7 linked regions of the Rattus norvegicus genome follow. The main gene of each other region encodes a partner of the protein of the gene in region 6 in a complex. Links are inferred from orthologs where the notes say so. Each region holds a gene or a part of one and is shown on either strand. Other genes may lie near its edges. The genes, in order: Taf13, Taf7, Taf11l1, Taf5, Taf10, Taf6 and Taf4.

What was found.
Region 1: Taf6 (region 6) and Taf13 share a complex: the UniProt entries of both Homo sapiens proteins name them as parts of the TFIID basal transcription factor complex. The link is inferred for Rattus norvegicus from reciprocal best matches to the Homo sapiens genes TAF6 and TAF13.
Region 2: Taf6 (region 6) and Taf7 share a complex: the UniProt entries of both Homo sapiens proteins name them as parts of the TFIID basal transcription factor complex. The link is inferred for Rattus norvegicus from reciprocal best matches to the Homo sapiens genes TAF6 and TAF7.
Region 3: Taf6 (region 6) and Taf11l1 share a complex: the UniProt entries of both Homo sapiens proteins name them as parts of the TFIID basal transcription factor complex. The link is inferred for Rattus norvegicus from reciprocal best matches to the Homo sapiens genes TAF6 and TAF11.
Region 4: Taf6 (region 6) and Taf5 share a complex: the UniProt entries of both Homo sapiens proteins name them as parts of the TFIID basal transcription factor complex. The link is inferred for Rattus norvegicus from reciprocal best matches to the Homo sapiens genes TAF6 and TAF5.
Region 5: Taf6 (region 6) and Taf10 share a complex: the UniProt entries of both Homo sapiens proteins name them as parts of the TFIID basal transcription factor complex. The link is inferred for Rattus norvegicus from reciprocal best matches to the Homo sapiens genes TAF6 and TAF10.
Region 7: Taf6 (region 6) and Taf4 share a complex: the UniProt entries of both Homo sapiens proteins name them as parts of the TFIID basal transcription factor complex. The link is inferred for Rattus norvegicus from reciprocal best matches to the Homo sapiens genes TAF6 and TAF4.

The regions. Positions count from the first base shown.
Region 1 is NC_086020.1:198,899,832-198,903,331, reverse strand, and holds part of Taf13 (transcription initiation factor TFIID subunit 13), read right to left. Parts: intron 3,470-3,500; coding exon 3,372-3,469; intron 454-3,371; coding exon 283-453; 3' UTR 1-282. UniProt on the Homo sapiens protein: The TFIID basal transcription factor complex plays a major role in the initiation of RNA polymerase II (Pol II)-dependent transcription.
Region 2 is NC_086036.1:29,710,676-29,714,816, forward strand, and holds Taf7 (transcription initiation factor TFIID subunit 7), read right to left. Parts: upstream 2,650-4,141; 5' UTR 2,415-2,649; intron 2,038-2,414; 5' UTR 1,977-2,037; coding exon 951-1,976; 3' UTR 501-950; downstream 1-500. UniProt on the Homo sapiens protein: The TFIID basal transcription factor complex plays a major role in the initiation of RNA polymerase II (Pol II)-dependent transcription.
Region 3 is NC_086028.1:74,278,259-74,282,319, forward strand, and holds Taf11l1 (transcription initiation factor TFIID subunit 11-like), read right to left. Parts: upstream 2,801-4,061; 5' UTR 1,376-2,800; coding exon 752-1,375; 3' UTR 303-751; downstream 1-302. UniProt on the Homo sapiens protein: The TFIID basal transcription factor complex plays a major role in the initiation of RNA polymerase II (Pol II)-dependent transcription.
Region 4 is NC_086019.1:255,909,774-255,912,766, reverse strand, and holds part of Taf5 (transcription initiation factor TFIID subunit 5), read right to left. Parts: intron 2,179-2,993; coding exon 2,049-2,178; intron 357-2,048; coding exon 192-356; intron 1-191. UniProt on the Homo sapiens protein: The TFIID basal transcription factor complex plays a major role in the initiation of RNA polymerase II (Pol II)-dependent transcription.
Region 5 is NC_086019.1:169,506,440-169,509,388, forward strand, and holds Taf10 (transcription initiation factor TFIID subunit 10), read right to left. Parts: upstream 1,770-2,949; 5' UTR 1,755-1,769; coding exon 1,523-1,754; intron 1,418-1,522; coding exon 1,263-1,417; intron 1,099-1,262; coding exon 1,034-1,098; intron 951-1,033; coding exon 836-950; coding exon of another isoform or gene 830-835; exon of another isoform or gene 827-829; intron 671-826; coding exon 581-670; 3' UTR 501-580; downstream 1-500. Other genes in the region: Ilk (integrin-linked protein kinase), read left to right, coding at 120-269. UniProt on the Homo sapiens protein: The TFIID basal transcription factor complex plays a major role in the initiation of RNA polymerase II (Pol II)-dependent transcription.
Region 6 is NC_086030.1:22,175,139-22,179,228, reverse strand, and holds the start of Taf6 (transcription initiation factor TFIID subunit 6), read left to right. Parts: upstream 1-1,290; 5' UTR 1,291-1,326; exon of another isoform or gene 1,327-1,433; intron 1,434-3,885; 5' UTR 3,886-3,945; coding exon 3,946-4,090. Other genes in the region: Cnpy4 (protein canopy homolog 4), read right to left, coding at 757-892. UniProt on the Homo sapiens protein: The TFIID basal transcription factor complex plays a major role in the initiation of RNA polymerase II (Pol II)-dependent transcription.
Region 7 is NC_086021.1:187,405,543-187,409,042, forward strand, and holds part of Taf4 (transcription initiation factor TFIID subunit 4), read right to left. Parts: intron 1,706-3,500; coding exon 1,536-1,705; intron 1,232-1,535; coding exon 1,101-1,231; intron 251-1,100; coding exon 125-250; intron 1-124. UniProt on the Homo sapiens protein: The TFIID basal transcription factor complex plays a major role in the initiation of RNA polymerase II (Pol II)-dependent transcription.

The sequences.
Region 1 (3,500 bases), on a different chromosome or scaffold from region 6:
TACACAGCTTGGAATGCACATGTCTACCTGAAGAATAAGTACTACTTCCCCCTTTCGGGTGGAACTGCATGGTTTGCAATACTTTAAGTTAGGAGTTATTCAAGGCCAGTAAGCAACTCAAATATGGTCAGATAAAGACAGGCAACAAAAGGCTCACGTTACAAATCTAAAATCAAAGGCCTCTGTCATTGCATGCCTAGCTATCACGATATTACTGCAGACAACAAATACAATGTATGGTTTCCACAGAAAATATCAAAATCCCGGGCATCACAAACGGTGTCAAGATCCATAGTTGGCTTCGTCGAAAGCTTTTCTAGCCCGTTTCAACTCTTCATTCATAGTTAGTAAGTCTTTAACTCTAGCGAACTTCCTCGGATCCTTTCGAATTAGGAAGACAATATCTTCAACTTGCACTCGACCTTGTCTTCCAATTGACATTGCCTTATGAGTCTATGACAAGGAAACACATCAATTTTTAAGGGCCAAATATTTTTGTGTTTTAATTTTCTATTAATCACGCTAGTGTTACATTTGTGAACCAGCTGTCTGATCATCTCCTTACTTAGGAATTTATTTATTTCATGCATGTGAGTACACTGTAACTGTCTTCAGACACCAGAAGAGGGCATCAGATCTCGTTACAGATGGTTGTGAGCCACCATGTGGTTGCTGGGAATTGAACTCAGGACCTCTGGAAGAGCAGACAGTGCTCTTAACCGCTGAGCCATCTCTCTAGCCCTCCTTACCGCCTTTCTATTGCATAATCGACAGTATTTTCTTTCTGCATTACAGGACTTCTTTTTTCATTACGGACAATAAAACTACCAAAATGAGCTAGACAGAGTGATACACACTTTTAATTCCAGCACTTGGGAGGCAGAGACAGACAGATCTCTGTGAGTTCAAGACAAGCCTTGGTCTATAAAGCAAGTTCCAAGCTAACCAGGGACATATAGCGAGACCCTGCCTTAAAAATAGATGGATGGACAGATAGGCAGATGGATGGTCAGACAGACTGGCAGACTAAAACAACAACAAAACCTAGCAAATTGGGGTTGGGGATTTAGCTCAGTGGTAGAGCGCTTGCCTAGGAAGCGCAAGGCCCTGGGTTCGGTTCCCAGCTCCGAAAAAAAAGAAAAAGGAAAAAAAAAAAAAAACCTAGCAACTTTTGAAGATACTTCTGTTTTATTTTATGATATAGGTGAAGTTTTTGTCTTGTTAAATGTGTTCTGGGTTGGCTAATGAGTAGGTAATAGAGATTAGGAAAATAACAATTAGGCTTTAGTAGGCTGGAAGGAAAGAAGGGAGGTTTTGGGAGGCTAAATAATAAAACTGATCCTAAGACTAATGCTTAAATCTTTTATATAAAAAATCTATACTTGGAGACACAATTATAACATTATTTTTGTTGCTGTTTTGTTTTTGAGACATGTTTTTGAGTCTCACTATATAACTAGAACTTACTATGTAGATTGGCCTAGCCTTGAACTCAAGCCAACTTATCTCTGATTCCTGACTGGTTTTTTTTTTTTTTTTTTTTTGGTTCTTTTTTTCGGAGCTGGGGACCGAACCCAGGGCCTTGCGCTTCCTAGGCAAGCGCTCTACCACTGAGCTAAATCCCCAACCCCTCCTGACTGTTTTTTATAGAGACAGGATCCAGAAACTAGGCTGGTCTCAAATGAGGCAATCTTCCTGCCTCTGCTACAACTTCTAGAACTAAAAGCATGCACCACTATGCTCAGCTTTGTTTCTGTTTGTTGAGAAAGGGTCTTACTACCTAGCCTACCTAGCCTGGTCTTAAAACTGGGGTCCACCTACCACAGCCTCCTGAATGCCGAGCACACCGAAATGACATCTTCTCCTGCCTGGCTGCTTTGTTTGTTTTTATCTGTTTGTTTGTTTGAGAGATGTCTTTATTTCATTTTATTTGTTTGTTTGAAATCCTAGTCTTGTTATGTAGCTCTGGATGGCCTAGAACCTGCTACATCCTGTAGTAGATCCTCCTGACTCTCTCTGGAATTCTGGGATTACAGGTAGGAGCCACTATGGCAGGCTCTGTCATTTAATATGCTGCTGGGGACTGAGCCCAGGGCCTCGCACACGCATATTAGCATAATCTGGCACTACTATGGCTAATGTTTTCCCTGAGCTGAGGTAAACTGGATTAAATACTCGCCACATGTGCAGGCCCTTGTACACACACCGAACAGCCTCAGCCCTGGCTGAGTAATCCTTTCACTTATTCTGTAGTAAGGAGATGGTCCAATGTAAAGGGTGAACACTCATAAGAACTAAAACCAACCAAACTCAGTGACCTCACCCCTGCTAATCCATCCAAACAAAGGAAAAGAAGAAAACCATAAAAATGGTCATTCAAGATGTTAGACCAGGGGCTGGAGAGATGGTGCAGATGTTAAGAGCACTGGCTGCTCAGGGTTGGGGATTTAGCTCAGTGGTAGAGCGCTTGCCTAGGAAGCGCAAGGCCCTGGGTTCGGTCCCCAGCTCCGAAAAAAAGAACCAAAAAAAAAAAAAAAAAGCACTGGCTGCTCTTCCAGAGGACCCAGGTTCAGTTCCCAGCATCCACAAGGTAGCTCACAACTGTCTTTAACTCCAGTTCCAAAGTATCTGACATCCTCACACAACATACATGTAGATAAAACCAATGCACATGAAATAGAATTTTTTAAAAATCCCAAAGGTATTCCATGAGCTGTACATACCTTTTTTTTTTTTTTTTTTTTTTTTTGGTTCTTTTTTTCGGAGCTGGGGACCGAACCCAGGGCCTTGCGCTTCCTAAGCAAGCACTCTACCACTGAGCTAAATCCCCAACCCCCTGTACATACCTTTAAATAAATACTGGAAGGGAAAGAACTTAGGCTGGGTGAGATTATGGGCAATACTTTTAATTTTATTCAAAGATACTATGTTTTTACAAATAAAACTCAGGGGCTGTAGAAACATCTTAGTGCTTAAGAACAATGGTATCTTCCAGAAAACTGGAGTTCAGTGCCCAGCACCCACATGGCAGCTCACAACTGTCTGTATCTCCAATTTCAGGGAATCCAACACCCTCTTCTGGCCTCCAAGAGCACCAGACACACATAACATACAGGGACATACTTGTAGGCAAAACACCTGTACACACCAAGTGAAATATAAAACAAACAAAGCTCAGAAGTTCTGAGATACATTTACGTACTATCCATAGTAAGGGCAAATAGAAGCCAGGAACTTGCACAAAGCAGGCACTCAAACAGATAGTTTATTTCAAAAATTCTAGCATTATCTAAAGCTTAACATTTTAAACCTTCAATTAACAGTTACAAAAATCAACACAACAAAAAAGTGATAGTTACAAAGTATCTTACCATTTCAGTGATGAACTCTATGACAAGGTCTTCGAGAATATCCACTGACTCCGTATAAGGATTCTGGTCATCCCCAAACCCATACATCATACAGCGCACTGTGAGAGAGCAAGAGTGTTGCGTGACCCA
Region 2 (4,141 bases), on a different chromosome or scaffold from region 6:
AAATGCCTCAGAGAAAAATTCTATGTATGAAATTTTAAAATACCAGACCTGGTAACAGGCTTTCATAGTGGCAAATACTAATGAAATAACATGAACAAACATGCCTATTAAAAAAGCATAGCAATTAAAATGGCAACAGTTAAGAATATAATCTTAATCTAAGCAAGTGGAATAGTTCATCTGATAACTGTTTAACTGCTTCCAGTATTTTATAGATAACTTTAGTGTTTAATAAAAAGATATAGACAGATATCCTTCAATGAAAAGTAGGATAGTTTAAGAAGGCTCTGGACCGAGTGTTCACAAACCTCCAGATGGTGTAGGTAGGCCTGAACCATAATCTATAATGCAAAGATGAATTTCTCCATTTCCTTATCTGGTGTATTCCTTTTCTAAAAAGGCAAAACAACAGCATGTATCTTGATCTATACCACTCAGCCATTAAACTCCATGAGCTCACCTCAACTTTCAGTATTCATTGAAGAACAAGATAAGCAAAGTGAAAATTAGTAACTTTTATTGTGCAAAAAACAACTTTTATGAAAAAACTTGCATTTCTGTAACATGGAAACTTGCTGAGAAGGTAAAAAAATATATTTCTTAAAAAAAAAACAAAAAAAAAAAAAAAAAACACTCCATTGCCTGTAGGCTAGCTAGCTTCTTACTGATCTTAGCACCGAAGAATAGGACTAGAAACTTAGGAAACAAATTGTAATAAAGTCCTATGGTGAAGTGATTAAAAGCTCAGTGTTGTCACTTCACTAACCTTACACTACAACAAATCTGCCTATGTAATCCTATTTTCTTAAGAGTGAAAACAATCAACACAATAACTCCTAGCATTACAGGAAATAAGAATATTTCAAAGAAAAAAGAAGAATTTTTCAAGACCTCACTCTGAAAATAAATTCTTCTTAAGCTGACTAGTCTAAGGACTAAAGTCAACCTTTTCACTTCTCCAGAAGTGATTCCAGCTCTTCTTGCAAAGAGCTAAGCTGCTCCTTTTCCCGGTCTTCCTTCTGTTTGAGCTCATCCAGAACAGCTTGAAACCTGTTCTTCAGAGCCAGGTTTTCTACCTTCATGATGAGATCCTCCTGGCGCTTTGCTCTGTCTTGGGTTTCTTGAAGCTTGCCTTTCATATTATCAATCTGCTTCTGAATCCCCATAACCAACTGATTGGTTCCTTCATTTTCTTGGTGTTGTTCATCTGACTCATTTAGCTTGTCCTGTAGCTGTCTCTCCAGATCCTCTTCAGTGTCAATGATGTTTACATCTTCTTCATCTTCGCTGCTGCTGCTGAGGTCATTGAATATCTCTCGAAGCTCATCATGCTCTAGTGAGTCATGGCCCTGCCTGTGGCCAGACATTCCAGGAGAGGAGATATCAAGGCCTTGATTTTCTGCCTCCTTTGTTTCATCTTCAGCAATTATCTCCCAACGAGTACTGACAGCTTCTGCATCTGTACTCAGCAGCCGCTTTACTTCTTTTTCCACATCTGGAGATTCAATGTACTTCTTCTTTGCTGTCTTCCGGAACCTTCTCTTTCTGACATTTTTTAGAGGTAGAGTAATTCCATGGTTCCAAACAAATTTTTTCTCTTTGTCCTTATCTTTTTTCTTGTTTGCTTTGGGATCAGCAGTAGCAGCTGGCTCCTCCACAGGAGGGTATAGATCACCATCTACTGTGGCTACAAGCATCTGAGAGATATCAGCTGTCTTGTAAAAGGTTTTTTTATCAATGGTTTTCAAGCTCTCCGTAACACACGGCAAATCTACCAATTTTGCAGCCAGGGGCACTCTATCCACTCTGACAATCCCATGACGCCCATCAGGGTGTAACTCAATGCTCAGTCTATCTTTCAGGTTGACGTGCCCAGACTGCACTGCCCTCCTCACAGTAGCGGCATATTCTGGGGGCAACCGTAAGATAAACTGGCTCTCTAGCTCATGAGGTGCATCATCTTTGCTCTTACTCATCTTCACTTCCTTGTGAATTACTTCTCCAATAAACACCTGCTGCACTAACAAGTTCCAGCTCCTACAACAGTTAAAAAAAGGACAAGGTTAAGAATAATCTTAAACTCTTAGTTACTGAGTTCTAAGGAAAACAGCAACTAAGTGGATCATCACCTACTGCCTATTTTGTCTTAATTTATAATTAAGTCCCAATACTAATCTCTAAACATGCATCCCACTTTGGCATTGTCCCTGTTAAACTCACACCTCTACTAGATGCAATACCAAATTAGGGCCTCTAGACGCCGCTGCAGCATCACGTGAACAGCCAAAGAAAACAGCAGCGCCTGAGGGGATTTTAGGCACAGTCCGTCCGTCTGGCAGGCAATCCCAATCCACGGATTCTCTCCAGTAAGAGATTTAAATAAAAGTCGTGAGCTCTTCGGCTCGGGTACTTACAGTTCACCAGCAACTATGAACTCAGCTTTTCTCGGCCTGAGTAAAGCAGCGATGAGCGGTGCGTCTACCTTCCAGTTTGTCCGCGCTTTCAGCCGCCCGGCAAGGCGACCTGAGCGCTAACAACGAAACGGCTCAGGACCCGCAGCGCGAAACCTCGCCACACTGCCGCTCAAACATCCGAACTCCGGAGAGGACCTTGCCAAGCCTCCTCCCACGCAGAAAAGAAGGAAAGAAAGTGCTACGGCAGTGAGCGGAAGCAGACGCGGCGCTACGTCAAAGACCGGAAGTAGACGCGGAGGGGCTGGCTGCCGCTCTTCCGGAAGTAGTAACGTCGCGGCGCGCGCAGGCGCATTCTCGTAATTACGTCGTCTCGTGACTACTTCTCGTGAGAACTTACCTTGTATAGGATTAAAACTAGTGTTTCCGGAAAAACCTTGGCTTGGAATTCAAAGATGAAGATTCCAAAAAGTAAAACATAAGCACACCCCCTAAGACAGCACTTTTATGAAGTCGTGGGTTAAGACAGTTTCTAGAGTGATTGCCAGAGATAAAGGGCGTCCCTGCAGAAAGCATCTTTTCTTCCCAGGGCATACCCGGTCCCTCCGCCAAAAGCTTTGGAAGCATCACAAAGTGAAAGTAAAGTGGCCAAAACAGTGGAATGATACAGTTTTGCTGTCTACCACATAACGCTGTGTATAATCATGTTAATTAGCTTTGAGAGGAACTAAGCCTTTAGCTTCGTTAGTATTTTTGGCTCCAGAGGACGAGGTGTGATATGTATGATACGCTATTTTGGTAATATGTTTGATAGATATAACTGTATACAAATGTTTTTATGATGACACAGGTTCATTAAGAACAGAATTGCCTTGCCTGAAACACAAACGTTCTGATTTTGTTGTTGGGTATCCACCAAAGAAGGCTGCTTGGACATAGTTTTAAGCCAATATAAAGTATTAGCTAGCCAGCGACTACATTGGGTGTTCTGGATCCCAGTGTGGCCCTAAGGCTTTCTCAGGGTGAGCTTTTAAGCACAAACAAATGTTCTACATTGGCATGTTTCTGTTACAAAAACCACTTTCCAGAGACAGAACTACAGAAGCCAAAAAACAAGGTTAGTACATTAGAGACTTTCTCAAAACTATGAAATTTGATAATTAGGTCTGTTTTTGTTTTGCCCATTGGTACTGTCTGTACTGTTAGGGTTCTCTAGAGTCACAGAAATTCTGGAATGTCTGTATACATTAAGGGATTTTAATGTAATGATTTACAGTCTGTAGCCCAACTAACCCAACAATGGGCAGCTGTGAATGGAAAGTTCAAGAATCTAGTTTCTCAGTCCCACGAGGTTAGTTCTTTCACCCAGTCTTCTGTATAAACTGGAATCTTGAAGAAGTGGGTACCAACAGATGTGCTGGCAAGTAAGAAGTAAGTGCAAGCAATTGAAGAAGTGTGAGTCTTCCTTCTTCCAATGTCCTTATATAGGCCTCCTGCAGAAAGTATAGCGCAAATTAAAGGTGTGCAGCACCACTCCTGGATCCAGAACTTGGCTTATCCCAGCCTGGCCTGGAATTCAGAGATCTGTTTGTCTGGGATTAGAGGTGTGTACTACCTTGCCTGGACCTAAGCTTTTCATAGTCACTATGCCTCAAGATATCCATGTGTCTTCTAGCCTCAAGACCTGAATCACAGGTGTGCCCTCCATTTCTGGATTGTGGTTCCTTCCA
Region 3 (4,061 bases), on a different chromosome or scaffold from region 6:
TTCGTAGGCACAATGTTTTTCGTTGTTGTTGTTTTTCTAGAAGTAATCCAAAAGAAAGCTCAGCCTTCTGCAGTAGGCATAAGGTGTGGCAAAGCCCAGTAGTAGGCTAATGAATTCAGATTAACCCCCTAAGGGGCCTCCTACAGGGCATGTCAAATTGAATTCAACCATTCTGGGTCAGGGTCAGAGAAACTCAGCCCCAGGGCAATTAAAAGTTTTGTTTTGTATTTTTAAACAAGGAAAAAAAATCCAAGTTTTATTGGAAGGACAATAAGTTTTGTCTGCAACAAAATAAAACAAAGTTTCCCACACAGGTTGGAAAAGTTTAATAATCCCTCACAAAATACACAGGACAACCTGAAATGTTAACGGTGAGAATCGAATTATGGTGTGACTGTCTTCACAGCAGATTATTGAGAAAGTTTGTTTCGAAACAACCTGAATCTTAGCCACTTTAGGCTTCAATGTGAAACTGTAGTTGTCTTGTTTTTCTCTGAAATCATCTCCCTCTCCAGGAGATACTAACAGTCCCTGTGTATTTTTTCTTAAAAATAGCCAAGAGTCTGTGAAATTCTTCAACATGCCTGAGGACAGTCTATGACTGAGTGAAGGCAAGTCTGAGGCACACTACGTGCCTTGTAGGTGTAACAGAAACATTAAAGTCAGCATCAAGTGTCCTGGGCTCACCACCAACAAAGCCTCAGTACAGAAGCCCAACTATACGGAAAGTCTTGAACAGTCTCTGTTAGATCTAGAAGAAGGTGATTTTCTTGTGCTTTGAGCTGGGGATTTGCCCCTTGGACTTCAACCTCCGCACGGCCTCCCTCATGTGCTTGGGCTGCAGGGGTGGCATTTCTCCCCATTTCTCACACACATCCAGGGCTTCTTCTACCACCTCCCCGACAAAAACTTTAGAAATGCCAGACATGGCGATCACAACATTCTGAGACACAGAGGTGCCAGTGATGGACTGGATCAGCCTTTTAATGGCTGCCTTCGGGAAAGCTGACCGGCGATACATTTCATAACGGTTCAGCTGCTCTTCAGAAAAAGAAGAGACCAGGATTTGCATCTTCTGAATCTCATCTTCGTCCACCTTCTGCTTCTTCTCCTTCTTGTCTTTGGTTTCTAGTTTCAGCTTTTTGGCTGCAGGAGTAAGAAATGAGTCTTCCCTCTCAACTGCTGTCAAACCTGAGACATCCTGACTCTTGGTCTCCCTTTCCTCTGCCGCGGCTTCTTTCAAGTCCACGTCTCCATCCCTATCGGTTTCCTCAGGGATTCCCTCAGTGTCTGCCGCTAACGGGTTCCCAGGAGTAGCCCTCGACTCCTCTGACTCCCCGCCTTTGTCCGTGGGCGACTCTCCAAGGTTTTCCATCGCGACAGGAGGGGGTTAGAGGCGAAGGCAGCGCGGCCGGGCGAAGGAGTGAGGGTCAGCGAGTTTTGCCGCGGGACTTATATTATAGCTGAGGCTTATGGCTTGGAGCTGGTCCTTATTGCTTGTGGTCGCGCCGCGATGACGTCACGCCCACGGCTCCTGGGAGGGGTCATTTTCAGAGTCTCGATCGCTCAGGGTCTTCTTGTATACTGACTTTGTTTTAACCAGAAAGAAATGTAAAAGTATAGATCCTCCGCTTTAGGGTAGAAGCGTGTTCGAAAGGGCGTACAATTCGTTTACCGAGAGACTTCTTTTTTTCCTTCCTTCCTGGAAATGTAATGCCAATTAATCCGTTAACTTGAGCGCAAAGTCCGGAACGGGGCGAAAACTCCGTCCGGCTGCTTGTTGCTGCCTTGGACTGAGCAATTTCCGGCAGAGACTCAACCTCGTATTTTCCAAAGAACTGAGATCCGCGGCTTGGGTCCACCAGGGAACTGCTTGGGCTTCTCTTCTGTACCGCAAGCATCTCTAGTGCCAATAGAATATATCCAACGATTTCATTCAATGCTTCAACTATTGGCTACCTGCCTCCCGTCAGAACAGAGCTAGTATCCCGTTCCCACATTTCTTTTGTTTCTACAGTGCCTGGACCAATGAGGATCATTTCCAGTCCCATGAGGTTCCCAAATCTTTGGGAAGGCGAGCACTTCGGGAAGCTCCTACAAGTGTGCCCACTTCGTTCTTCCCCAGCTGTCGAATGGGCGGTTTCGCTGGGCGTGGACCGCGTCTGCGCCAGGTCTGCACTGCACACAATTAAAATATTTAATGCCTGTTGTTGACACTGCTCAGGTCTGGTGCATCAAGTCAGAAGCAGTCAGTCACAGGGATGGAAGTGTTTCTCATGATCCGGCACAAGAAGACCACCAACTTCATTGAGGCCAAGGAGTCGAGCACATGGTTCACTAAACAGGTAGCAAAGCCACAGGCCCTCAGTCACAGTGGACCTGGCTTTCAGAGCAGACGATGCCTTTGAAGGCCTGCAATATTTACACCTTTTCTAGTTCTCCACAACACGAGACGCGATGAAGAATTCTTGGGGGGTTGGGGATTTAGCTCAGTGGTAGAGCGCTTGCCTAGGAAGTGCAAGGCCCTGGGTTCGGTCCCCAGCTCCGAAAAAAAAAGAACCCCCCCCCCAAAAAAAAAAAGAATTCTTGGAACAGGGGTTGGGGATTTAGCTCAGTGGTAGAGCGCTTGCCTAGCAAGCGCAAGGCCCTGGATTCGGTCCCCAGCTCTGAAAAAAAGAAAGAAAGAAAAAAAAAAAGGAATTCTTGGAACAGTGCTAAGGAACAAGATGTGCAACGAGGGCCCCAGGCTCACTTCCTAGGGACCCATTTCCCAATAAAGATTTGGCTGACTTTTTTTAAAATTAATGTGTTTATTTTATGTATATGAATACAGTGTAGCTATCTTCAGACACACCAGAAGAGGGCATCAAATCCTATTACAGATGGCTGTGAGCCACCATGTGGTTGCTAGGAAGAACAGTCAGTGCTCTTAACCACTGAGCCATCTCTCCAGCTCTTGGCTGTCTTTTTAAATAAAAAATAAAGAACTCACATTGCTCTGATGTCATACTGCATTCTGCCTCTGCTGGAGGTGTCTAGCAGCCACCATCATGCCAGCCCTGAGCGGCATAACAAAAGCCAGAACAGGGGGTCCACAGTGAATGTTTCCCTTCTGGATGATGTCAGGCACTGCTACCCACAGAACTAGAATGGGAACAGAGGGGTCTGGGTTGAATGGTGTGGTTCCCAGTTTCCTCTCTGGATACCTAGGCACCGCTGGTGAGGAAGTCAGAGATGGGGTGTCTACATTTGGTTGCTGGGAATTGAACTCAGGACCTCTGGAAGAGCAGTCGGGGCTCTTAACCACTGAGCCATCTCTCCAGCCCGTGACCTTGAGTTTTATGGTTATATATATTATGGTTATATTTTGTCTTGATTGTTGTATTGTGTGCCTCCTTGGATTCCTGGTCTCAAGGACTTTCGGCTGGGTCCAGTCAGGACACATCTGCTCAGCATTTGCTTCATTCTTCCTGCCTCCTACCCCCAAGGATAGCTCAACGCCCATGTACAGCTTGAGGAAGTTATGGAGGAGTCGTCGCCCCAATTCCCTGGACTTTTGGGGGGCTGAAAGCAGTTATTCTAAAGTTGTTTTTATGAGGAACTTAGAAATGGTTGTAATTTAACAGGGAGGAATTAGCTAGATTGAGTTGTAGAGTCATTATCTCATTTGGTAACTAAGCTAAAATCATATCTTTGTTTTGGTATAGAATTTATTTGTCAAAAAAGTTTAAAAGTACAAGGTTTAGAGCCAGTCCTTCTAATTATGTCAATACAAACTTCTGAGTTGATTACATATGTGAGTTAAGGGCCAAATAGCACATTCATGGCTCTGACTTTGTGAGAGCACTTTCAAGATAATATTAAGATATGAAGGGGCTGGGGATTTAGCTCAGTGGTAGAGCGCTTACCTAGGAAGCGCAAGGCCCTGGGTTCGGTCCCCAGCTCCGAAAAAAAAGAACCAAAAAAAAAATATTAAGATATGAAAACAACAGTCCAGATTGTCTTATATAGATGGATGGTCTTCAAAAACGTCAGAAATCCACAAAATTTGAGACTTAAAG
Region 4 (2,993 bases), on a different chromosome or scaffold from region 6:
GGAAGCAGGGCCCTCGGTGTAGACCCTGGAGGGAGAAATATTCCCCTCTCACATTTTCAAGTTACAGCTGTGAATTATCTTCTCCAAAAGTTAATCCTGAATAGCATGAAAATACGGCTTGCTGGACTTTGTGTTCTTGACAAGATACAGTTATATCCAGTGAGTAAACCCCATTAGATCAGTGTTCTTACCGAGCTACGCGGTCATGGCCTCCTGACACGAAATAATATCCATATGGAGAAAACTGTGTGTCCCACACTGGGTAGTTGTGCCCTTTATATCCAACTAAGCAAGTGAAAGTCTGCAGGCTCCAGAGTCTAACGGTTCCATCCTCTGAAGAGGAGAGTAGGTAGTTCCTGAGGAGAAGAGGCGGTGCTGACTGATTCTCAGTACAGTCTAGTTACCTGTCCAAGTTTCTCCCAACCTCACATTTTAACAACTGACATGCACCTATGTTACATTAGTGTGTGCGTGCACATGCTCCTGGGAGTGGGCGCAGAGTGCTGAGGACTCACCCTCAGGCCTTGCACACGGCAGGCAGGCAGGCATTCTACCACTGAGCTACACATCCTCAGCTCCCTCACCTGTGTGTGGAATGCAGGATGCATGGGTATATTTAGGAGTCTTCCCTGGATCAATCTCCCAGATGTACCCAGAGCTTGTCAGCAACCCCAGCTCCAGGTCTAGAACACTGGGATCACAGGAGGGCCGCCAGGCCAGCATTTATATGGGTGCTGGAGATCTAAAATCTGATTTTCACACTTACATGGCAAGCACTTTCCTCACTGAGCCATCTCAGCCCCACCTCTCTATTCTTAGAATTCACAGTAGATAACAAAAGCTAAAAGTATTAAACTAATGTTAAGTGAAATCATGTCGAAGTATATCCTCAACACTTAACTATATAAAGCTAATAATGAAAGAAAAAAAAAAAAAAAAACAAGCCAAAACAAAAAAACCTGTCAAGACTATGGGGAGGGGTCACAGTGCTTTAGAAAAGAAAAAAGAAAAAAAATAGTGTGATAGCGCATGTGTAACCTCAGAACTCAGGTGATGACCCTGTGTTCAAAACACTAAGAAACTAGTACTGAGGCTAATAAGCAGTGCGGTTACCAGACAGTCTAGAAATGAGGTGCATCAGTTCTGAATATGTGATTTGCTGTCAGCATGGACTGTATCTAATAGAGAGAAGGAGTCGGGTACAGCTCAATAGCAGAGTGCACACCTAGTATGTGCTGGAGGCCCTGTGTTCAACCAGGACGCCATTCCCCTGCAGAATACTAACGTTCCACCTTTTTCAGGGATAAATAAAAAAGCCAACAGTTTTCACTGAAATCATTCTCTTCAAGTGAAATGTACCACTTGGCTAAATCCTATTAGGTACTGGTTTTGTTTTGTTTATTTCTCAAGATCTCACAAGTACAATGAAAACTCTGGTGGTCAAAAACTACTAAGTAGAATACACAAGATAATATGGGTGAAACCACCCTTTCCCAGCCATTTTTGCAGAAAGTTAGAAATGAAAATCAAGAAATACCTAAACACATGCTATTTCAAAACATGGTCTGGCTGTGATACCCAGTGAACCTTGAACCACAATTCTCCTTCCTGCCTTAGCCTCCAGAGAGGCTGGGATGGCAGGCACTTACTATGACACCCAGCTTTCTTCTGTTTTCCTGTTAAAATACCTAAATGCTTCCATTGATAGCTTTTAATGAGCAATTTCTCTTAAGTGTTAGGAAGTTCCATAAGAATAATCCACAAACTCGAACAATTCAACCTCTTCCAGAGGGTTATTCAAAAATAAAGCTAAATTCTGAAACTGGTGAAGCCATGAATGTATATCCTGATTTTTGTATATTCAGTATACACTTAGGTGCTATGTTATATTCCAGTCCCCAACATATATTAGCAAATGGTAAGATTCTAATTCTGAAAGATACTGAACTACAGGCAACCATAATGTTTGGCATTTGCATTTCATCTCCAGCAGTTAAGTTTGAAATCTCAGCACTGTTCATCAGCATTTAATTGTGTTTGAATTTTACCTATCCGGACTGAAGCTGGCTCCATAGACAGGCCCACTGTGACCATACAAAATCTTCAACTCACTTGCAGTTTTCTCATCCATGATTCTCTCTAAGACATCATCTGATTCTTTGTCTATAAGACTAAGATCTAAAAAGGTCCAGAAATAGTATTTTAGGTATATTATTTAAGGCAATCTCTCATAATTCAGAACTAACATTTCAACATTTCTTCCTCTTTACCAACAACACTATGCTAAATTAAGTGATCTGTCCCCTCATATAGAAAAAAATGAAATCTTCCAAACAGTTAATCTGCTAGACCATACAGTTACTCAGTATGACAACCAGTCTGTCCATCACATTTCATAAAAAGGAAGCTATACAAATCCTAAAACAATATAAACCTAACTGTTTAGGAAAAATAGCTATCAAAAGCATCTAAAATCCTGACCTTAGGAGTGGTTTCGGTTCTGTGTTTTGCCTTTTGTTTTCTGTATGTACCAATGCTTTCCCTGGATGATAAAAATGTACCACATGCATGTGTTGGATCCCTGGAACTAGAGTGATGGCTGGTGGTGGGAATCTCATCCAGGTCCTCTGCAGCAATGGGCAGTGCTCTCAACCAGAGTCCTCTATTCAGCACTGTGTTTTAATTTTTGAGACAGAGTCTTCACTGTGTAGCTTAGGCTCCTTTGAACTTAGTGATCCTCCTGCCTCAGTCTTGTATGAAGTGAATTTAAGCATGCATGCCATCACACAGGGATATGTCAGAGAACAATATGTAGGGTCAGTTCTCCTCAACCATGTGGGCTGTGAACACTGAACTCAAGTCTGCATGTCTGGTGGCAAGCACTTGCCTTTATCTACCGAGTTACTAAGGTTTAGTGAGGCCCTGCCAGCCTCACTAAGGTTTTCTTAAAAGTTATAGGCAAATAATCATCAGATATCACAGTTTTAACTTTA
Region 5 (2,949 bases), on a different chromosome or scaffold from region 6:
GTAAGCCCTTCCTGCAGTGTATACAGATCTATAGTAATCCTACCATTCAAGGGTCAAAGGCTTTTGCCCATATGATGAACTCAAATTCAGAAGCTCACCTTGTTCTGTATAATTTGCAGGTGGCACTGGAAGGCCTTCGGCCTACTATCCCACCAGGTATTTCCCCCCACGTGTGTAAGCTCATGAAGATTTGCATGAATGAAGACCCTGCAAAGCGACCCAAGTTTGACATGATTGTACCTATCTTGGAGAAGATGCAGGACAAGTAGGACTTGAAGGTCCCTGCCCAAACTTCAGAAGTATCAGCATATGGCTGGGGGAATGCACTTCCCCGAAGCTGAAGATCTCTGGTTGCCTCCCCTGTCTCTAATCATGGTACTACCCCAGTTATGGGGCTTGTTCCCTGCTCCCATCCCTACCACTGTAGCCCCAGAGAGGGCTGGGCTCAGAGCTTTGTCACTTGCCACTTGATGTCTCCCAACATGGGAGGGATCAGCCCCGCCTGTCACAATAAAGTTTATTATGAAAACAGGCTCATGTGGGGACAGAGGGGAAGACAAATACATCTGGGTTGGGTGGCTCAGGTGAAGTAGTGCGGCTTCTTCACATTGATGCCATACTCGCTGAGGGCAGGGGTCAAGTCCTCCATGGTTAGGGTGTACTTGCGATCCTGGGGGAAAGAGGGAAGACCACCAGCTGAGCACAGCAAGTCCAGATTCCAGTCCTTTGTGGGTAACCCTGAGTAGGCCCAATACCTCCCCTAGGATGCTGCTTCCCCAAAAGGCTTTCAGGATAAGTTAAGTCTGTACTGCTGTGGAAGGCGAACCTCTCACACCTTGCTCTTGCTCCGGGAGCTGCCAGAGGCTGTACCCTTCATTTTGCAGTGCTGTAGGGCATCATTGGCAATATCTGAGATGAATTTCTGGGCAGCTAGTGAGATGAGCCGAATTCTAGAGAGGAAGGGGGTGGTGGTAATGAGATATTTAACAAACTCCACCCAGCACTCAACAGTCTAACCTCTGAGTTTACTCACATGCGTGGGTCTGAAGCTTCAAAGCCAGCACGGTTCAGGTAGTAACCAGTCACTGCATCCGGGATCTGAAAAATCAAATAGCCGTCATTATTAGCTCTGCCTACTGATGCGCTGGGTGGGGAGGAAGAATAAAGAGACAGCTTCCTAGTAGAGGACGCTTGAAAGCATGAAGGTGCGGTTGAAAGGCACGACAGCGAGGCAGGTGGCCTTGTACAGGCGGGAAGCCCACCGTAGGTGTATAATCCTCCAACTGCATCAAGAAGTCCACTAGTGGTGTGCTGGACACTACGGGCTTCACTTCTCCGTTGGCCGCGCTCGGTAGGGCGTAAACCCCGTTAGACATTGCCCCCTCAGGGGGAGCCGCGCCGCCTGCTGCCACCGAAGCTGAAGGAGAATCAACAACACAGGTGAGAAGCGCAGGGTCCCCCCAACCCCCGCTGCGGCACCCAGTCGGAGATTCCCCCCTCCCTCACCCGGCCCGGAGCTCACCCGGTCCGCGCCGCTCCGCGGGCTCCCCTGCCCGTGCCGCCACGGGGCCCGTGCCTGCAGTGGCGACTCCAGCTCCAGGGCCCCCTGCTGTCCCCGCGGGGCTGGCTTTGCTCTCCGCGGCCGTGCTAGTGGGCAGCGCAGCGGGAGCGGACACCGGGGGCGCCGGACCCGCGACCGAGGCGGCACAGGCTGGCGCCGCCTCGGGGTCCGCGCCGGAGCCGCTGCAGCTCATGGGGCTGGTGGGAAAGGCGGCAACCAGAGCTACTTCCGCTTCCGCTCGCCCAGGCGCACGTTGCGTGACGTCACAGTTCCCGCCCCACCGCTTTAGTCCGCCGCGGGCGACCTTAGGTTGGCTGTTGGCAGATTAGGTGTAGACTGGCAGAGGTAAACTGTGAAAGACCTAGCCTCCACCCTGCGGCTCAACCCTGCCCAGATGGGACCGCGAAGAATCCAGGACTGCACACTTCATTTCATCTGGGTGCGCAGATTTGACTTGGGGACTCATATGTCAGATACTTCATTACCAGTCTCCTTAACAGTCTTCATTCTTTGTCGCTCCCTTTCACTGTCTTTAAGGATTTTAGTGGATTTGGTGTGTGTCCCTCCCACCCACAACGGTCCTAGAAGCGTGCTGCTGTAAATGTAGAGATAGGTGTTTCACCCCGAAGAAATAACATGCCAAAGTCACATGTGAAGCACATTAGCAATTCAACAGTCATTTATTTAATTTCTATTTGCCAACTACAGGGTTGGGACCTAGGAATACAAAGTTAAGAATCAGATTCTAGTTCACTAGCACCAAGCTCTGGAAAAGGAAGGCAGACAATTTTAATACTGTATGGTTGTTTCCCAGATACACGTAGGTGGAGTGCAAGGAAGTAGGGAACTAACATCAGCTGCTTAATTCCAAGTGTCAGACATTAGCAATGTTTATTTCCCAATTTTGAAGGCAGGTTTCAATGTCCCTGACTTTTACCCAGTAATCTTTGAAGGGTTTGCACAAATAAATATACTGTTTGGTTTAGAAGATGACTTACCCATGGTCAAGGATGCTGAGGGGCTTTGGAAGGCTCTCCCCTACCCAAGTACTTCCTGCAGTTTAGAGGAAAAAGGACATGGGCTCAAAGATAATGCAGTAGTGTGTGTGTGTGTGTGTGTGTGTGTGTGTGTGTGTGCGTGCGCGCGCGCGCGCGCGCGCGTGCACGCACGTTTGTGTATTTTCGAGACATGGTCTCACGTAGGCCTGGCATGCCTGGAACTCTTTGTATAGACCAGGATGGACTCAGAGAGGCTTGCCTGGTCTCTGCCTCCTAAGTGCTGGGATTAAAGGTGAGCATCACCACGCTAGCTGATAAAGACATATCTGGAGAAGTAGTCAGTAAAACTTGTTGAAGTTAGTAGGGAGGTGAAAAAAAATGAAAATTAAG
Region 6 (4,090 bases):
AAAATGAGAGATTAGAATAAAGTCATGGGTAACAATGACAATAATGTTGTTGGGTGTAAAGTGAAACGATAATAAATCCAAAGAAAAAGTTAATGTCAGGGAGCCACAGGATATTTTATTCAGTGACCTGGCTTCCTCCCTGTTGGGAGTAGAGTGGGGAGGGGGGCATTTACTGATGCAGCCAGGGGCTGTGCTGCTTGTTGTAAAATCCCTACAGTGCAACCCATCTGCAAAGTCTCACACTGATGGGCAACTTCTAAGTGGTATGATGGTGTCTCCATCTTTTGTTTATGAGCTTCAGCTGGGGACTTACTCACCTTTAAACCCCTGAAGGGGGTCATCAGGCCTGTAATTTGCGAGCGTCTCTGCCAGGGCGGGGCACAGTACGTCTATAAGGTATGAACCTTACACCCCACCCATGCAAGTTGTCTAGATTTTTAACAAGTAGGGAAACGCACTGAGAAAGATGCTCGGTAGAGCCAGCGTTACAGGTTCGTGAACTACAATTCCCACAATCCATTCAAGCCCAAGCCCGCAAGAAAAACCTAGCTCCTTCTGGATGCCACCTGGGAAATGTAGTGCCACCGTAACACTGCTCTCCTTCCCTCGTTCCCATTCAAGTGTTACCAAGCTCCAACAGAACCTCTTTCAAGACAGTTGAGTGACCCATCTATCCTAGTCCATTTGATTCAGCCTAGAGTTAAAGGCAGGAGCTAGGATAAGGAGATGCAAATAGCAACTGCTCCATTTCTGTACCTTCGCATTTGCTGGGCAAACGTTCTGTATCAGCTTCTTCTTCTTTTGTCATTCCAGTCCAAGCACCGTACGCTGCCAGGATGAAAAGCAGTATTTCCAACCGCACAGGTCCCATGACAAAACGCAGTTCACACATACACACAACCACCTCTTGCCTTCAGACTAACTTCTGAAAGGGAGCGGGCCCTTTAAACTTAGGCGCAGCCGGCAGCAAGCCTTTAAAAAAAAAAAAAACTTACAGGGGACGGTCAGCGCATGCCCAAAGTTAGCCCGAAAGTGGGTGGAGCCTAATGGCTCCAGGCTTCCCGGCCTTACTTTTGTGGCGCCTCCTGAAGGTCCTGGCAGCTGGGTAGTGAAGATACAAATTGAAGAAATTAGAATAGAGTAATGTGATCTTTACATATACACGTAGAATTTAATTTTTAAATAATTCCAGACTGTGAAACGATATGGTCTATTTTGACATAGGGAAGAGCAGTGATAAGTTCTTGGCTTCTGCCAGGACCTACTACTGCCAGGGGGCGGGGCCAAGATGGCGCCGAGCGCCGGGTGAGCGGCGCCTTGGCAGCGGTGAGAAGCTTTTACTGCTCCCGGTGCTTGGCTGGCGGGGGAAGGTCTGAGGTGTACCCGGGAGGAGACCCTTTGAAAGGGCCCATGTGAGGACTGGGAAGAAGACGGTTGGTTGTGTGTCCGTGCTAGTGGGGACCCTGTGCATGATTGCACTGGAAGGATGTTGGGGAGATGTAGTAGATTGTGAACCTCCTGTAGCGCTGCCCGGGGAATCTTCGAATCACTTCCCTGCTGAGGAAAATGATGCACAGATATAGCTCAAGTTATCCGTCCTCTGAGAAGTCTTCCTGTCGTTTCCACTGATCTGAGAAATTCCGGAGGGTGTTAGTGTTTTATGAACCCTTAGTGGCAGGGGACTGGGACCCAACTGCCTCTTGTATACTTGGCACCAGGTTCAGAGTATGTGCTGAATAGTTGTATTTCCTGTAGACAAGATTTAACAAAAGTCTGAGAAAAATTGGGATGGAAAGAACCAGGGTCTTTGGCCTCCACCCCCAACCCCCACCCTGGCACACACACACAAACACACACCCCTTTTCCCCAGCACTCAGCTCTGAACACTCCTGAGGTTGACCTCATGTCCAGTGTCAGGCAAGCTCCTTTCCATTTGACCACAGAGTAAACTCCAAGCTTGGGTCTGTGTCTTTTTCATTTTGGTAATTGTTATACCAAGTATTTAGTGAACACTTACACCTTTAGGACTTAAAATTCATATATTTAATAATGTCCTAGGTACTAGTCAATCTAGGCACCAGATTGGTCAGCGGACATAACAGACATAATCCTGTCTACTGGTGGGGTAAGAATAATAAACAAGAAAAATAATAGCTTGGCGGTAAACAGCTGTAAAAGGCAGGAGGATCTCCAAATCAAGGCCACAGAATGAGTTCCAGACAAGCCTGAGACCCAATTGTAGAAGGGTTGCTTAACATGTGGAAAGCTTAGATTTAATCTAGAGTGATTATATAGAATACATATATATAATATATATCATTTATTATTAGAAGAAATTTTGGCAAACAAGTAAAGCCAGGCATGGTGGTATGTGCTTATAATCCCAGCACTTGGGAGGTGGAGGCCAAAGGACCAGGAGTTAAGACCAGTGTTGTCTACATAGTGAATTTGAAACCAGTCTGGGCTGGGGGCCACCTGCCCCTAAAGAGAGGTGGATGGGGTCAGATAAGGTAGTCAGCCAAACACATTTAGGAAGAACACAACAAAAGTTATAAAGCCAAGTACACTACATACCTGTCAGATTTAAAGGACAGCAAGAAGAATGATGTGTGACAGGTTAAATGGGAAAAGGAGGGATAGGTGATCAGACGTATGAAGGAAAAGAAAGGAAAAGGAAAAACCACTTAGGCAAGACTCAAACTTGCTGTCTGTGCACTTTAGCCTCCAGAGTGCTGGGGTTACAAGTGTACAGATGTAGGGTCTCACTCTGAAGCATGACCTGGTATAAAACTCAAGGCAGTCCACTGAAATCAGAAGGGTTGACCCGCAGAACTGGACAAGAGACAGATCTTGAAGGGAAGGCCTTGGGAGGGTTTTATGTCAAAAGGGGAACCATTATAGGAAAGAAATAGTTATCTGCTTTATATTTTGACACTTAAAACCACTTTGGTTTTAAGGAACAAATGCAAAAAAAAAAAAAAAAAAAAAAGTAAGATAGAAATAGGAACACCTTGTCCAGCAACTGAGTTCAGCAGATAGGCCAAAAAGGGTCTGGTTGGACTGCCTGGTAGGTTTTAATACCATGCTGGGAATCAACCCCAGGTCCATATACATGCTATATCTTCCAGCCCTTACTTGATGGATTTGTTTCAAGCGTCCAGATAAGAATGAGTTGTGCTGGATGTGGTGACACATGCCTATAGTCCCAGCACTTGGGAAGTAGCAGGACCAGGAGTTCAGGGACATTTTCAGCACATATGGAGTAAGAGACCAGCCCGGACTACAAGAGGCCCGAGAGAGAGAGAGACAGAGACAGAGAGAGACAGAGAGAGAACAGGCCTTTAATCCCATCATCCAGGAGGCGGAGGCAGGTGGATCTCTGAATGTGAGACCAGCCTGGTCTATAGAGCAAGTTCCAGGTCAGCTGGGGTTACACAGCCTCAGGGTAGAAGGGTAGGGGACAAACTGGGTCTGGAGATGTAGCTCAGTTTTTAAAGTATTTCCCAGCACCACAAAACTGTCGGGGTACGTCTATAATCCTAGAATTAGGAAGGTAGCAAAAGAATCCAGAGTCAAGACTTACCTTTTATTACATAGTTTAGGGCATGGCTAAAGAAACCTATCCACAAAAGTAAGAGCAAACAAACAAAAAAATTGTCACTGGGCATGTTACTACATGCCTATAATCCTAGTACTTGAAAGGCAGAAGCTGGGGGCTGGAATTAGAAGTGTTATGGCTCCATAGTGAGCCCCTGTGTCTAAAAGAAAAAAGACAGAGCAAGCCGTTTGGTAGCTTTGCTTTGACGGTGAGCTGTAAGTAAGGAGAGAACGCAGATGGAGGCTTTGAACTGTTTTCCTTTTTGTCTTGCCACATCCCACTCTTAGGATCTCCATCTCTCCACCCTGGGGTGACATCCTTCCAGGGACAGGAGCTGGAACTCCAGCATGGCTGAGGAGAAGAAACTGAAACTCAGCAATACCGTGTTGCCCTCCGAGTCTATGAAGGTGGTGGCAGAATCCATGGGCATTGCTCAGATTCAGGAGGAGACTTGCCAGCTACTGACAGATGAGGTCAGCTACCGCATCAAGG
Region 7 (3,500 bases), on a different chromosome or scaffold from region 6:
CTTCACTCACAACACCCTTCTTTCCACACTTGCCAGAAATGGCGGTGAGCACAAGCCAGTGCCTGGTGAGCAGCTAGGAGGGGGCAGCAAGCTGAGCCTGAGCTGCAGATGGGGTTTAACTTGCCTTTGCTGCCCGCATCAAGATCTCCCTCTCCTGCTCATCTTTCCTCTGCTTTTCAATCTGATCCAACTGTTCAAAGAACTTGAGCTGCGCCCGGACATCACTCGCTTGCTCATATCTGTCGTCATCCTACCAAAAAAAACCCAAAAAGTTAGTACAGACACTGTCAGCGGTGGATTCGGTACTTCAACAAGCATGGATGTGCCTGGCACAGCTGGACATGGTGTGGCAGTTGCTCACATCCCACTGCTCCAGTCCCGACCTCACAAAGACAGGAAGTCTCGTCCAGTTACCAGGAACCCACGAAAGGCCCAACTTGATACACTTTGGCATTTTGAAGCCATATTTAAGTCCTTCTGTATAGAAGTGTCTGTCTATTTTTGTTTTTGAGACAGGGTCCTCTGTCCAGCCCTGACTAGCCTGGAACTCACAATTTTAGACCAGGCTGGGCTTGAACTCACAGAGATCCATCTTCCTCTGCCTCCCGAGTACCAGAAATAAAGGTGTGCACCACCAAGTCCAACTTTCGAAGTGTTTTAAAGCTGACAATTTACCACGGGCTGCTCTGAATGTTCAGACACTGACTCCTTCATCTGTGCAAGTGCTCAAGACGTATTCTGGCTGAAAACCCACTTCATATTCATTCATTCATTCATTCATTCATTCATTCATTCATTCATTCATTCATTCTCTCCCTCTCTCACGCACGCACGCACGGCGGACAGCCTGTAGTTGTAGCTTATGGCTCGAATAGGCCAGGCTGCAGGACCTGGCTCTTTAGATGGAGTAAGAGCACAAGACTCCGTAATCTCCTACGCTCACAGCCCCGTCTCCCGACGCAGGAGCACCTGAGCACACCTGCAGGTAGTGTGTGTGGCTAACAGTGAGCACAGGAACAACCAGGACAACAGGGCTTCCAGACAGCCCAGGTCACGCGGTGAGAACACGAACATTCTCCCCAGGAAAATAGCCTCATTACCTTATAAGAGAAGTTTTTCTGCTGAGCCGTTTCAGATATCTTTTCTACAAGATTCTGCAGCCTTTGCTGTGTGGCATGAGACACGTAACTCACTACATCTGGATGCAGTTCCGTGATGCCGTGCTTTTTACCTGCAGGCCATGCAGAAAAAAGCACTTTATGGTACTTACCCAGCTTCTCTTTATCACGGCCCTGGCTTCTCTCACCCACTAGTTACTGCTTTGTACAATCAAAGGCAGTCTAAGCAGGAAGCAGACTGTCACTGTCCACCTTCTACTACCTGCCAACCAACAGTGGAGTCTGTATAGGGTGAGCCCAAGACAAGGCAGTGGGGCTACAGCAGAAAGGTCGGACTGCGTCTCGCCAGGGTCATGGAACACATCAGACAGACAGGGACTCTCGGCGTCCCAGTGGCGTCACCTGCTGCAGCCGTACCTATTTCTAGTATCCTCCTCTGCAAAGGCGCGGGGAGGAGGAAGGTGTCATCTTTACAGGATCGGGTCAATGTCCCCACCAACTCAGAGTTTGTGGCCAATATTCTTGCACTTTCTTCAGACAGGTTCACTCCAGCCATTGACGCAACATCATTGATGTCGTCATCATCCCTGTGAGAAGAGAGGAACATTCTTGTGGCATTAGGAAATCACAGCTCACTCAGGTGGTTCCAATTCAGTGGCATCTTGCAAGGGGCAGGGAGCAGCAGAAGGGCACTGAGATGAACAGACAGACACACACACAGTCACACACACACACAGTTACACAAACACACCAGGCTCCTACACTGGCCTTGTCCTTTGTTTGACAGTGTCTTGCTGCCTTGTTTGAAAACTGAAGTGTTCAAAGGAAGAACTGTGTGAGGTCACAGCTAAACTGAGTCCACAGAGAGCTCTGTGCCCACCGTCCACAGTCTGTCCCAAGAAAACAAAACCCAGAACACCATCTGTTGCTTTGAAGACTCCATGTTACCTGAAAATTTCTCAAAGAAAGAAGAAAATTTCTTCTCTCAGTCGCAGCTTTCAGAGGAGTTAGAAGAGCACAAAACTCACTCAGAGCCAGCACAGAGTACTACCAGCCAGTCCCAGACAGATGTTTCCTTGTGAAAATGGACTAGCCTAAAAACCTGTCCACATGTGGCCACTGTCCCAAGACCAACCTCTTCCCTGGGGAGGTCTACATCCAGCAACAGGCCCTCCAGTGTCCCTCACTGAACACCCTTCAGCCTGTCTTTAACACATACGCCCTTGGTGTAGGACGACAGGAGAGTCCTCCTTGAAGCCTGACCCTTGGAAGTCTTCACTGAACTGCACTGCCCGTCCCACCCTGCTGCCTGTATGTGTGTGTGCTGAGAGTGACACCCAGTGCTAACCAGTACTGTGGAAGCATCCTGAAGTTTGAACACACACACATGCAACCTTCCTATTGCTTACAAGTCAATCATAGCTCACTTCTACTCAGCCTTTTGATCCTGCCCTATCTGATTAAGTGCTGACCATCCAGATGACCAGCGCAGCCTGGGCTATAGAAAGGAGTCCAGCCCACCTCATGTCACTACCTGAGCCCTGTCCTGACGTGATGAAGTGGGCACAGCTCACACTGTCGTTTGCTTGTCCCTGCTCTTAACCACTATCCCCTGAAGGGCAGCCCTGGTCTATACTGGAAAATGGCTTCTAGTAGGTAAGATATGAGTGACAGGAATGTGCCTAGGCTCTTCCCACAGACCAATTAGGAGCCCCAGCCTCCACTGCATTCCTAAGCATTCCTCCCTGCCCAGCTGGGACCCAAGACTGCGGCCAACCCTAGCTTACCCACGTCCCTAGCTCCAGCTTCCTCATCAACACTGGCCACAGCACCGAGAAGCGGGTAGTACAGGCGTTTATGCTGTACATACACACTTAGCCTCTCTCCCGATCCACTCAGGTGACCTGTCCTGATCTGCCTGGTTGCTCCTTACCCTACAGAGCCAATATAGTTCCCAACTCTCTCCAGCCCCATTCAATAGCTTCGAGGATGAAGAGGCTCCTGAAATTCAAACCACCCCCCACTGCTCAGTCAGAGCGAAGGCCAGAATTTGGCCTCTGGTGTTTGCACACAAGAATCTCAAGACATAGTAATGTCCAGAAAGGCTGTTCTGTTCATCAAGAGTCACAGTGAGCAGGGTGATGCGGGCCATTTGTGTTATAAACGGTAGTTACCTTGGTGCACTCTGTTGGCACCAAGTCAGATGACCTGTTCTCCATTTCCACAGAGGGCATGAGGCAAGCCACTCCTCTGCATCCACAACAGGAGCTCACACTGACAGAGGTGTGGTCAGACACAAGCAGAACAAGCAGTCCTGACACTACCAGGGCCAAGAGCCAGTAGGAAAGGCCTTGTAGTGAAGTCAGCAGATAACCTGAGCCC